Linked DNA regions of Danio rerio. The protein of the gene in region 1 interacts with the protein of each later gene in a pairwise test. Links are inferred from orthologs where the notes say so. Each region holds a gene or a part of one and is shown in the gene's direction. Other genes may lie near its edges.

What was found.
Region 2: the proteins of creb3l1 (region 1) and pgap2 interact in binary tests that used the Homo sapiens proteins (3 or more experiments, as listed by UniProt). The two-hybrid records come from large-scale screens. The link is inferred for Danio rerio from reciprocal best matches to the Homo sapiens genes CREB3L1 and PGAP2.
Region 3: the proteins of creb3l1 (region 1) and gpr25 interact in binary tests that used the Homo sapiens proteins (3 or more experiments, as listed by UniProt). The two-hybrid records come from large-scale screens. The link is inferred for Danio rerio from reciprocal best matches to the Homo sapiens genes CREB3L1 and GPR25.

What each region holds. Positions count from the first base shown.
Region 1 is NC_133182.1:39,151,853-39,155,511, forward strand, and holds part of creb3l1 (cyclic AMP-responsive element-binding protein 3-like protein 1), read left to right. Parts: intron 1-22; coding exon 23-131; coding exon of another isoform or gene 132-200; coding exon 201-222; intron 223-352; coding exon 353-502; intron 503-2,477; coding exon 2,478-2,536; intron 2,537-3,083; coding exon 3,084-3,152; intron 3,153-3,659.
Region 2 is NC_133196.1:33,641,287-33,644,945, reverse strand, and holds part of pgap2 (post-GPI attachment to proteins factor 2), read left to right. Parts: intron 1-1,671; coding exon 1,672-1,780; intron 1,781-3,659.
Region 3 is NC_133186.1:26,792,399-26,796,157, forward strand, and holds the start of gpr25 (probable G-protein coupled receptor 25), read left to right. Parts: upstream 1-1,236; 5' UTR 1,237-3,187; coding exon 3,188-3,759. UniProt on the Homo sapiens protein: Orphan receptor.

The sequences.
Region 1 (3,659 bases):
GATTATCTGTGTGTCCCAACAGAAGAGCATTTGCGGTTGCCGCCAACTCCTCCCAGCAGCCATGGCAGCGACAGTGATGGATCCCAGAGCCCACATTCACTGCCACCATTAAGCCCTGGCCACCTGCAGAGCCCACATTCACTGCCACCCTCCAGCCCTGCCCGGCTACAGGCCCGGACCTCCACTGCTATCTCCTCATCCCCTCTCCTCACCGCCCCGCACGTGAGTGCTAATCAATGCGGCACATGACACACCACACTATATACACATATATTCCTAATGGAAATTTGCATACAGTTACGTCTTAAGCAGTTCTATTTAAAGTGAAACTCTGTCTTGTGTTGAAATGCAGAAGCTGCAGGGAACATCAGGCCCTTTGATGCTGACAGAGGAAGAAAAGAGGACTTTGATCGCTGAGGGATATCCTGTCCCCAACAAACTACCGCTCACCAAAACCGAAGAGAAAGCACTCAAACGGGTGCGCAGGAAAATCAAAAATAAGGTATTGATAATGATTACATACTATTAATATTGAAATAACTTGGTTATTAAAACAAGTCTCTTATTATATAAGTTTTGTGCATATACAGTTGAAGTCAGAATTATTAGCCCCCCTGTTTATTTTTTTCTCCAATTTCTGTTTAGCGGAGAGAAGATTTTTTCAGCACATTTCTAAACGTAATAGTTTTAATAACTCTTATCTAATAACTGATTGATTTTATCTTTGCCATGATGACAGTAAATAATATTTGACTAAATATTTTTTAAGACAATTCTATACAGCTTAAAGTGACATTTAAAGGCCTAACTAGGTTAATTAGGTGAACTAGACAGGTTAGAGTAATTAGGCAAGTTATATATAACGATGGTTTGTTCTGTAGACTATCGAAAAAAATTTGCTTAATGGGGCTAGTAATTAAAATGGATTTAAAAAATTAAAACTGCTTTTATTTTAGCCGAAATAAAACAAATAAGAATTTCTCCAGAAGAAAAAATATTATCAGACATACTGTGAAAATTTCCTGTATATGGAAATAATTTATGGATCAAAGAAAAAAATCCTACAGTACTTTTGATGTTAATATGAAATTTTATTTGGTTAATATATACATATAATTGTATATAAAATATTGAACACATGAAGAAATAGAGGTGGAAAAAGGAATGGAAAGCCCAGATAGCAGATGAATTCTCTCAGTAGTTAGTAGAAAGTCTATTGAAGTGTGAAAATCACACCTGAAGAATGCAAAATTCTCCAAAGCTACCACTAACAAAAAAGCCTTTTATGCAAAATATTCAATATATTTCAGTAGTTCATTACTTTCTCCTTTTGCCATTCCATGTTTTTACACATAACACTTTTTAAAGATTTTTTTTTGCATTACTTGTATGTTTGGGTGTTTTTAACATTTTTTAAACCAAAATCTGGGTCAATTTCATGTGAACAGCTCCTTTAGAAATATAAACAGTGAGCATAAACAAGTACACCCCTCACAGATCTCTCTTATGAATCAATTTTTTTCTAAAATATTTTTCTGAAACTTGAACAATTCTAACAAAAAAACTTAAGATTAGTCAAAATATTGGTACACCCAAATTAATATGTTAGAAATATATATACAGTGCTTAGCATATATAAGTACATATTTATATTTTCTAGGAAGCTGTACAATATTATATTTATGCAAATACATTAGATTAGTCAGTACTGAAGCCAAATCTTGGTTATTCAGGGATGGGTTACGGCTGAACGGGCATCCGCTGTGTAAAAACTTGCTGGATAAGTTGGCGGTTCATTCCGTTGTGGCGACCCCGGATTAATAAAGGCTAAAAAAAAGCTGAAAAGAAAATTAATGAATGAATGAATTTTCAAAAACAGAAACAAATCAAGATAAACAAAAAATGTATGCAATTTTGTTAAAATGTTGTTAGTTTGTAATTTTTTTTTTATATTTTGCATGAATTTATTGTATCATCATTCCATTTTTAAAGATGTTTGGTGACTAAAGTATTATTTTAACAAATGTATCTGTTTAATAAATCTGTTTTGTTTAAATGCACCAATATTACCCATATTCACAGATAAATGGATAAAAATATTCATTTTCAAAATGGAGTGTATTCATTTATGCTAAGCACTGTAAATAATATACAGAATAATATACAATTAAATTATTATATAGCATTTTTTTCCCACTAATTTGATTTTAAATTTATTAACTTTCTATTCCTAAGGATATTCAGTTACCAACTCTTATTTTAATTGATATAACTGTTTGATGAAACTGCTATTAATTCCTTAAAATATATTGTCTACATTCACTGAGAACTGCATAAAAGTATATTTATTTTCATTTATGCTGAGCACTGTATACCAAGTAAAATCATGAGCTGTTCAATACTTACTCTAGCCACTGTATTAATATATGAATAATATATTTACGCTCATTATAATATTTTTTACATTCTTTTCTTAGATCTCTGCACAGGAAAGCCGCAGGAAGAAGAAGGAATATGTGGAGTGTTTGGAGAAGAAGTAATTCCACTCTATTATCTCTCTCTCTCTCTTAAATGCTTTGTTCTCTACCTCTTTTCTCTCTCTCTCCTGCATTCTGACTGCTGTCCTTTTCTCCTCTGCTCTTATTTTCCCTTCCTCTCTTTTGCTTTGTTTATCCAACAGCATCCACTCTCTCTGTGCCTTCATCCTTCGTTCTCTTCGATGACCTCCTCTCCTTTAATCCTCTCGTCATTCTCACCCCAGCATACCCTCAAAATGCGCTATACCCTTCTAGCTGTTTTATGGCTTTTATTGTGTGAATATGGCCAATGGCTACAGTCCATGCACTCATTGGTGTATGTGTGTGTGTGTTTGCGCGCGTTTGCATGAGTCATTTTCCCTTTTGTGCTGCTGTTAGGCTCTCAGGGTTTGGATAATGTGCTGGAGAGACTGGACTCACACTGGACACACTCACACACTGGCTTTTCTTGCTTATATGTGGTCATACTTATGGAAACGTTTTTGTAAATGCATCTCAATGTGACCGTGCGCAATAACACACTCTTTCTCTTTTACTCCTCTTCAGAGTGGAGAACTACACTTCAGAGAACAATGAACTCTGGAAGAAAGTTGAGACGCTTGAAAATGCCAACAGGTGAGGAAGCACATGTGTGCTCGTGTTTAATCACGGCGAATACTTTATAGGTGGATTTTAATACATTTAAGTGTGGCTGTATTTGCGGTAAGTGTGCGGGTCTTTGCAGTCAGCAGGTGTTGTTAAGTTGATCCAGATGCGTGCAGGTCTTAACCTCCCCTTCCGATCATATAGAGCAGCACCTTTTCATTCTCTCCTGGGTGGCCTGCTTAGAGTATTGGCGCTGTCGACAGGCTGCTGTCTGTTCCTACTGTTTAGAGAGACAGAAGAGAGGGCACCGTGGGGGATTGGGTGTTATCAAAGTCAGCACTTTTTTTGTGGATTAACTGTAGCTCATTGGAGGCGAAAGCTCTTAAGGGGTAGTTCATTTAAAATGAAAAACGAAAAATCTGGAGGAATTTTTCTTCTTTTTTGGAACATAAAATTATGCTTAGTTATGTTTTAGATTTGTTTTATCTGTAGAATGAAAGATTGGGTGTTTTCTGAAGCTTGCTGACTTTCATATGT
Region 2 (3,659 bases), on another chromosome or scaffold:
ACACTGATAGGCATTGAAATACATAATGAATAGTCTTGACACATGAAAGTGTAAAACCTGCAGCTCACAACAAATGTGGAAGGTTATTGCGTGTCTTTTAACACGGTTTACTGCTAGTTTGATGTAATTTTGCTCACATGGATAATTGAATATTAATCAGATGATGTCATTACGCTGCCATCAGCCAATCGTTGCATTGCAGATCATGATTTCGAGGATCGATAGATCAGTCGTTCACAACACACGCAGCGATCTCAGATCAGTTCATCCAGACATTCTAATCTGATTCGCGAGCTTGTTTGAAGAACCAAATTAGTGAGAGATCAGTTATCGAGATGAAAAGATCCAGGATCTGCCAAATCATCTTAGATCATTTAAGCGAGGTATGAAGAACGGACCCATGTTTTTTTGTTTTTTTTAAGGAATAATAATTTATGCAGTCATGCACATTTTTTTGACATCTAATATGCTTGATTTGATGCTTCACAAAAGCTCTGGACACCTTTACCCATATCAAAATGTTTTTGATGCAAAATTAAAATAAACAGACAGTTATTCCTTATGCAGATTAAGAAACTTAAATAGGGCTTGGCTACTATAATAAAGAAAATCTGCTCTAATGTAAAATAAATAAATTGCTAAATACTCTCGACACATAAAAGTATAAAGCCTGTGGTGCACAACAAAGGTGGAAAGTTATTGCGTATTTAACAAATATACAAACATAAACATTTATATTTAAAAAACCGTTTACAATGAATTTTATATAATTTTGCTCACATGAGTAATTGAATAATAATCAGATGATGTCATTACACTGCTGTGCTGTCAGCTAATCGTTTCATTGCTGATCATGATTTTGATGATCGACAGATCAGTCCTTCACAACACATGCATTGATCTCAGATCAGCTTATCCAGAAATGTTTATCTAATCACGAACTTGCTTGAAGAACCAAATTAGCCAGAGATCTGTTATCAAGATTAAAAGATCCAGGATCTTAATATGTATATGTGATACACACATGCATAGAAACAAAACCATACAAAACAATTGTGTTACATGGATAGATATATATAATAAGTGTGTACAATTTTATTATTATTTAGGATGTGATTAATCGCAATATATTTTTGCCCAGCAATAATTTTTTAGGCATTCAAACAAAATGAGGGGATAAGAAAAAAAAAAACAGATTAGCATCCCATAAAAAAAACCCTCTAGCGTCTAATAAACATCTTGTGAACCTCATGTTAAAATCACATGTGAAACATTTCATGCACATCTCACATGTGATTTTAACATGTGAATCTTTTACTGTTCAATTTTACACTCAGCTTATATTCTCATACATAGACTTTCTCTAATTATTCAGCTACGCTCTTAACACACAAGTGATCTTGACACCACTCGCACAGCTCTAATAAAAGGTGTTGCTTTTGCGCCGCCGGGTGAGAATTCTGGGAGTTAATGTGTCAAAGACCGCAGTGTGTCTGTATATTTGTGCTGCTGTGAAAGTGCAGCTCTGGGGGAAGTGGTTGCAGTATTTTCATAGAGCCGCGCTCCACCTGCTTGCTCCACATCGCGTTGCAGAAGAGAACTGATGACATTGTGTGTCTTCTTTCTCTTTTTTCTCTCTTCTCTTTCTTCACGAACCCGCTTTGTCACCAGGAGATGATGTCGTACTGGTTTAAGCTCCGCCTTTTCCTGTTCAACGGCGGCTGCTGTGTGTTGGCGGTCTACTTCTACAGGCGGCACAACACGTACTGTGAAGAAGGAAGTGAGTGCAACATCTCTGTTCTTCACCCCACCCTAATTTCCCTCAATGGTTTATGAGAAATGATTTTAAAATCAACTCAGAAATTATTATGAACTATAATTGATTGCTAATATTTGGGGAATTTTATGGTCACCATTAATCAGATTTAAGATATGAAGAAAATTGTATTTCTTGTAAAGTGTTTTTGAGGTTTAAAACTTAAAAAGTGTCTAAAATGTCAGCAGAAATTGCATTTATCTGCAGAATTTTTATAATGTCACTTAAAAGGAGGGTCGAGGCAGTGGCGCAGTAGTTTCCCCCACAGTCCAAAGACATGTGGTACAGGTGAATTGGGTGGGCTAAATTGTCCATAGTGTATGAGTGTGTGTGTGTGAATGTGTGTGTGGATGTTTCCCAGAGATGGGTTGCGGCTGGAAGGGCATCTGCTGCGTAAAAACCTGCTGGATAAGTTGGTGGTTCAATCCGCTGTGGCGACCACGGATTAATAAAGAGACGAAGCCGACAAGAAAATGAATGAATGAACTTTAAAGGAGTCTTTGCTAAATAAATGTGTATTTCTTTTCAAATGAATTCTAAAACTCAAATTTTATAAGCCGTAGTTTGTTAGAATAGTTTTTCGTGTTTTAAACTGTTCGTAGCAAGCTTCAGAAATATACTTGTATAATATGAACATATGATACACGTTTACAGTATCACTCAACAGTTTATATTGTGAATTATTGATTATGGTGCTCAATTCCCCTCTTATAACATTTAGATCTCACATTCAAGTTGATCTTTAAAACACTTATAATTAAAACGCACTGCTAATTATAATCTTTATCAAAGATTGACAAAATTATTGGGCACATTTGAAATGTAATTTTGCATAGTCATTTGCCAATTGGGGCCAAACTACTGCATGAAAATTCTCTCTGAATTTCAAAAGTTATTGACAAAAGTTGAACATTTGATAGATATTAAAATGGCTAAAATTCTTTAAGGAAATTAGTTAATTTCACCAAACCCAATACACTTAGTTTAGTTTAGTTTAGTTTAGTTTAGTTAGTTTAGTTTATTTATTTATATAGCACATTTTTTACAACACAACGTTGCCCAAAGTGCTGAACACAATCAATACTAAACATGAAATCTACATCACATAAATAACAATTAAAACATAAGGCAAATCCCTCAACATTAAAAAGGCTCAAACACTAAGGAACAAAGATGGTGTTTTAAACGCTTTTTAAAAACAGGTAGAGTTGGAGCGTGTCTGATGTGGGGCGGAAGCCCGTTCCAGAGTTTTGGGGCGACAACAGCAAAAGCCCGATCCCCACTTCGCTTACACCGGGACCTTGGTACAGATAGAATAAATTCATCAGAAGACCTCAGTGACCTACCAGGATTGTATACGTGTAGCAGGTCTGATAAGTATGATGGTGCCAGATTGTTTAAGGATTTAAAAACAAAGATCAATAGTTTAAAATCAATTCTCGACCTAACAGGCAGCCAGCCCAGAGAGGAAAGAACTGGGGATATGTGCTCAAACTTGCGAGTCCCTGTCAGAAGTCTCGCAGCTGCATTCTGTACTAATTGCAATCTGTTTAGGGCATTTTGACTAATACCCACATACAGAGAATTACAATAGTCAAGTCTTCCCAGAATAAAAGCATGGATCACCTTCTCAAGGTCATTAAAAGAGAGAAACGACTTTACTTTTGCCACAAGTCGTAAATGGTAAAAACTGGATTTAACAACTGTATTTACTTGTTTGTTAAATTTCAGATCACTGTCGAATTGAAATCCTAGGTTTCTAACAACAGGTTTTTGATAAGTGGAAAGCTCACCAAAACCTGATAAATGCAGAGGGTTAGGATCGCCAAACCAGACCAGCTCA
Region 3 (3,759 bases), on another chromosome or scaffold:
GCATTTTACGTAGGGCGCTATACGTAGTGCTGGATTGTGGATTGTCAGCGGTAAAAGACGCATTTCAAATATCATCCACAAATGTGTCCTATGCAAAAAGCTAAGAGGTAAAATGGAAAGTCAGAAGATGTCGGCTCTGCCCCCAGACCGGCTTTCTGTAGATCCACCTTTCACATACACAGGTCTTGATGTTTTTGGACCTTTCACTGTGGTGACACGCAAAACAAGAGGGCACAACATTGAGAACAAGCGATGGGCTGTCATATTCAGTTGCTTGAGTAGTAGAGCAGTTCACTTGGAAGTTATGGAATCTTTATCAGCGTCAAGCTTTATTTGTGCTTTGAGACATTTTTTGGCTGTGAGAGGGCCAGTAAAGCACTTTTGATCAGACAGAGGGACGAATTTTGTTGGAGCAGGGAAAGAACTCCAAATCGACAGTGGCGACTCTGAGCTAAAAGGGTTCTTGCAGAATCAAAGCTGCACTTGGACATTCAATGCTCCACACTCCTCTCATATGGGGGGTGTGTGGGAAAGAATGATGGGGATAGCCAGACGTATTCTGGAAGCGCTCTTAGTAAAATCTGCTACAAGACTCACACATGAAGTCTTAACAACCATAATGGCAGAAGTCATGGCCATTATGAATTCCCGACCTTTAACCCCAATTTCTACAGATGCAAGTATGCCTCAAGTGCTCTCACCAGCAATGCTCTTAACTCAGAAAGCAAGTGTTGCCCCAACTCCACCAGGAAACTTTGAGTTAGGACACTTGCACAAAAGTCAGTGGCGTCAAGTCCAGATGTTAGCAGATTCATTCTGGAAGCGATGGAAGCAGGAGTACTTGTCCACCTTGCAATCCAGAAGAAAATGGACTGAGGAGAGAGATAACATTCAGGAAGGAGACGTTGTTCTGTTAAAGGATGGGGAAGCTAAGCGCAGTGAGTGGCCAAATGGCCTCGTAACAAAAACCGTAGCCTCATCTGATGGGAAAGTCCGAAAGGTTATGGTAAAGACTGCTAAGCAAGGGGCTGTCAGGGAGTACTTATGGCCTATATGTGACGTAGCTTTACTTTTATCTAGTGATTAAAAGCATAGTGGTATATGCAATACACCAGGCGGGGAGTGTACTGTATGGTGTTGATTCGTTTGGTAAGCTGTGCATTGATTTATTTAAGTGGTGTAATTGTGAAAATGTCATTGCGCCATTCTTTAGAACAACCGGATATTTAAAAAGTCATAGAAGAAGAGACTGTGATCGCCATGCAGAGACGCGACTTGTTGTTTGCTTTTAGCCCTTGTGATAGAAACGACTGTAAGTTACTAATTTTATTTTGAAAACATCTGCAATACTTCCTTTGGGTTAAATTGATTAAGGAGGGTCAGTGTTGAAATGTTTAATGCTTGATGTTCTGTTTAAATGCTAACAAGCTTGCATATAGATGCACGTCATTAAAGTGCCTGGATTGTTTATTTAGCTGTTTGATATCAGTTTAAATATGTCAGTTTATGTTTACAAATGTGAAAGATGTATATTATTTGTGATATTTCGTAATCACTTTGTAATTTTTACCTTTTGTATTTTTCCTTTTTAGTTTTACAAGCAAATCAAGTAAAGGTGCTTCACATTCGCAAGAAGAAAGTGTGATGGTGCTTTATTTCTGTTAACTATCTGTCAGCTTTGGTTTTGAACACCATTGCCAGGGCAGAATATTCAGAATAGTCTAAAAATGCTTTCTTTTTGTGCTAATTTTTTTTGTCATGATTAAATAAATATTTAATGTTATAAATATTGAATGATAGTAATGAATTTAAAAGATCTGTTTTGTGGCTTCTGTACAGTGTTGCGCATATCTTTAATAAAGGGCACTGTCTTTCTAATGACTTGCAAACATATCAGCACGGGAAATCTTCGACTATCCAGCTTATTGCCAAGGTCCCACTAAACCCAGCTTGCGATAAACCCTACAAGTGACAAGAACTGAAACACACACACAAATTTAAATAAAACTGATGTTTTGTAAGATAAAACACTGGAATGCACCTTACATTTCTTAATACTGATTAAAAAAGCTTTCCTTTTAGGTTTTCAATTGTGTGAAATTATCTCACTTTTCTTTTTTCTTGTTGTCTATTCACCTGTCACGAAGTGTGAAGTTATATTATAAGTGTTACAGTTATACTTACACTTTTGAAATCCACTCATTTGCATGTCGATCTAAGATTTAGCTTGAGAGTACAAAAATTCCCACAAGATTTCACCACATGAATTTGCCACACTGACCAGCAGAAAACTGGTTGCTTTAAATTTAACTGTGAGACCCTTTCTTTACACATCAGTTTGTTTGTTAAAAAAGAACTTCACCGAAGGATTACTAATTTGATCATCAGTGAACTTTTGGTGCTTTTGAAAGCTAAATGTCTATACTAAACTTGTCTTATCCAGTCTGAGCCTGAAAGGTCTTAAAGTTTAGAAAATGCAGAGTAAAACCCAGGAAACCACAACATCACACATGACTCAAATAAGCTCTGCACTTTATTCTTTAGTTTGTTGCAAAGCTGAATTAAAAACTAAAAGGCATGACATCAACCGTTTTTTTCTTTTAACTGCTTGCAAGGTGCTTTTTTTCGTCTTATACTGACAAAGAGGAAGTGTTTACGCATTTATGAGAAAACTGCTTTAAATCATTCAATAAAATCCCATGGCACTCACATTTGATTTATTACATATACAAAATATGGAATTCTTAAAATCTTTATTCCCATCGGTGCTTCAGTGGAGATCCCAGAACAATCATGAAGCATTTTCATCCCACTAAAAGTTGTTTAAAATGCAAAAATCTTCTTTAGATTGAATGACACTGTTCTTCCTACTATGAAACAAAAGATTCTGTGAACTATTTAGTCTCAAAGATTCTTCTGGTGTCCATCTTTAAATGTACATAAGCTCATTATGAGCAAAAACAGCCTTTTCAAATGTTTTAAGTAATTACACTAGAGCAGTAAGTCCAAAAATGTAATAAATCACTGATTGATATTTTAGAAGTGTAAATATAAAGAAAAGTGTCACTTTGTGTTAAATTTACAACTTTTAAGGAAACAGAGCATGAGAGAACCTGTTATTGCAGTTTGTGGTTTCCATCATGTGACTTGCTAGGTTTTCTCTTCATTGCCCATCACTTGTGCACAGATGGCAAGCAGCACAGAGATGGCACACTCTGGAATTACAATGAGCTTGACAAGTGAATATGACTATGACTATCCAATTAATTCCACGGACGAGAATCCAATCTACACCCTTCCCGACGCTGAACTGCTGCCCATGTCTAACATCTACATTCCTGTGCTGTACATCATTATGTTCCTCACCGGCTCTTTGGGAAACCTGTTTGTGATTGTGGTCATTGGAAAGCGGCGCAAGAAAAGTGGACGCCTGGTAGACACCTTCGTGCTGAACCTGGCACTAGCCGACCTCGTGTTTGTTCTCACGCTGCCAATGTGGGCAATTTCGACCCGTTATGACGAGTGGCCCTTTGGTGAGGTGTTATGCAAGATTAGCAGCTTTATCATTGCGGTTAACCGCTTTTCCAACATCTTCTTCCTCACCTGCATGAGCGTGGACCGCTACCTGGCAGTGGTGCGCCTAATGGACTCTCGGTTTCTCCGCAGCAGCAATTGTGCACAAATTACCTGTGGCATCGTGTGGGTGGTTTCCTTCTTTCTAGGATCTCCATCTCTGGCGTACCGTCACTTGATCAACAA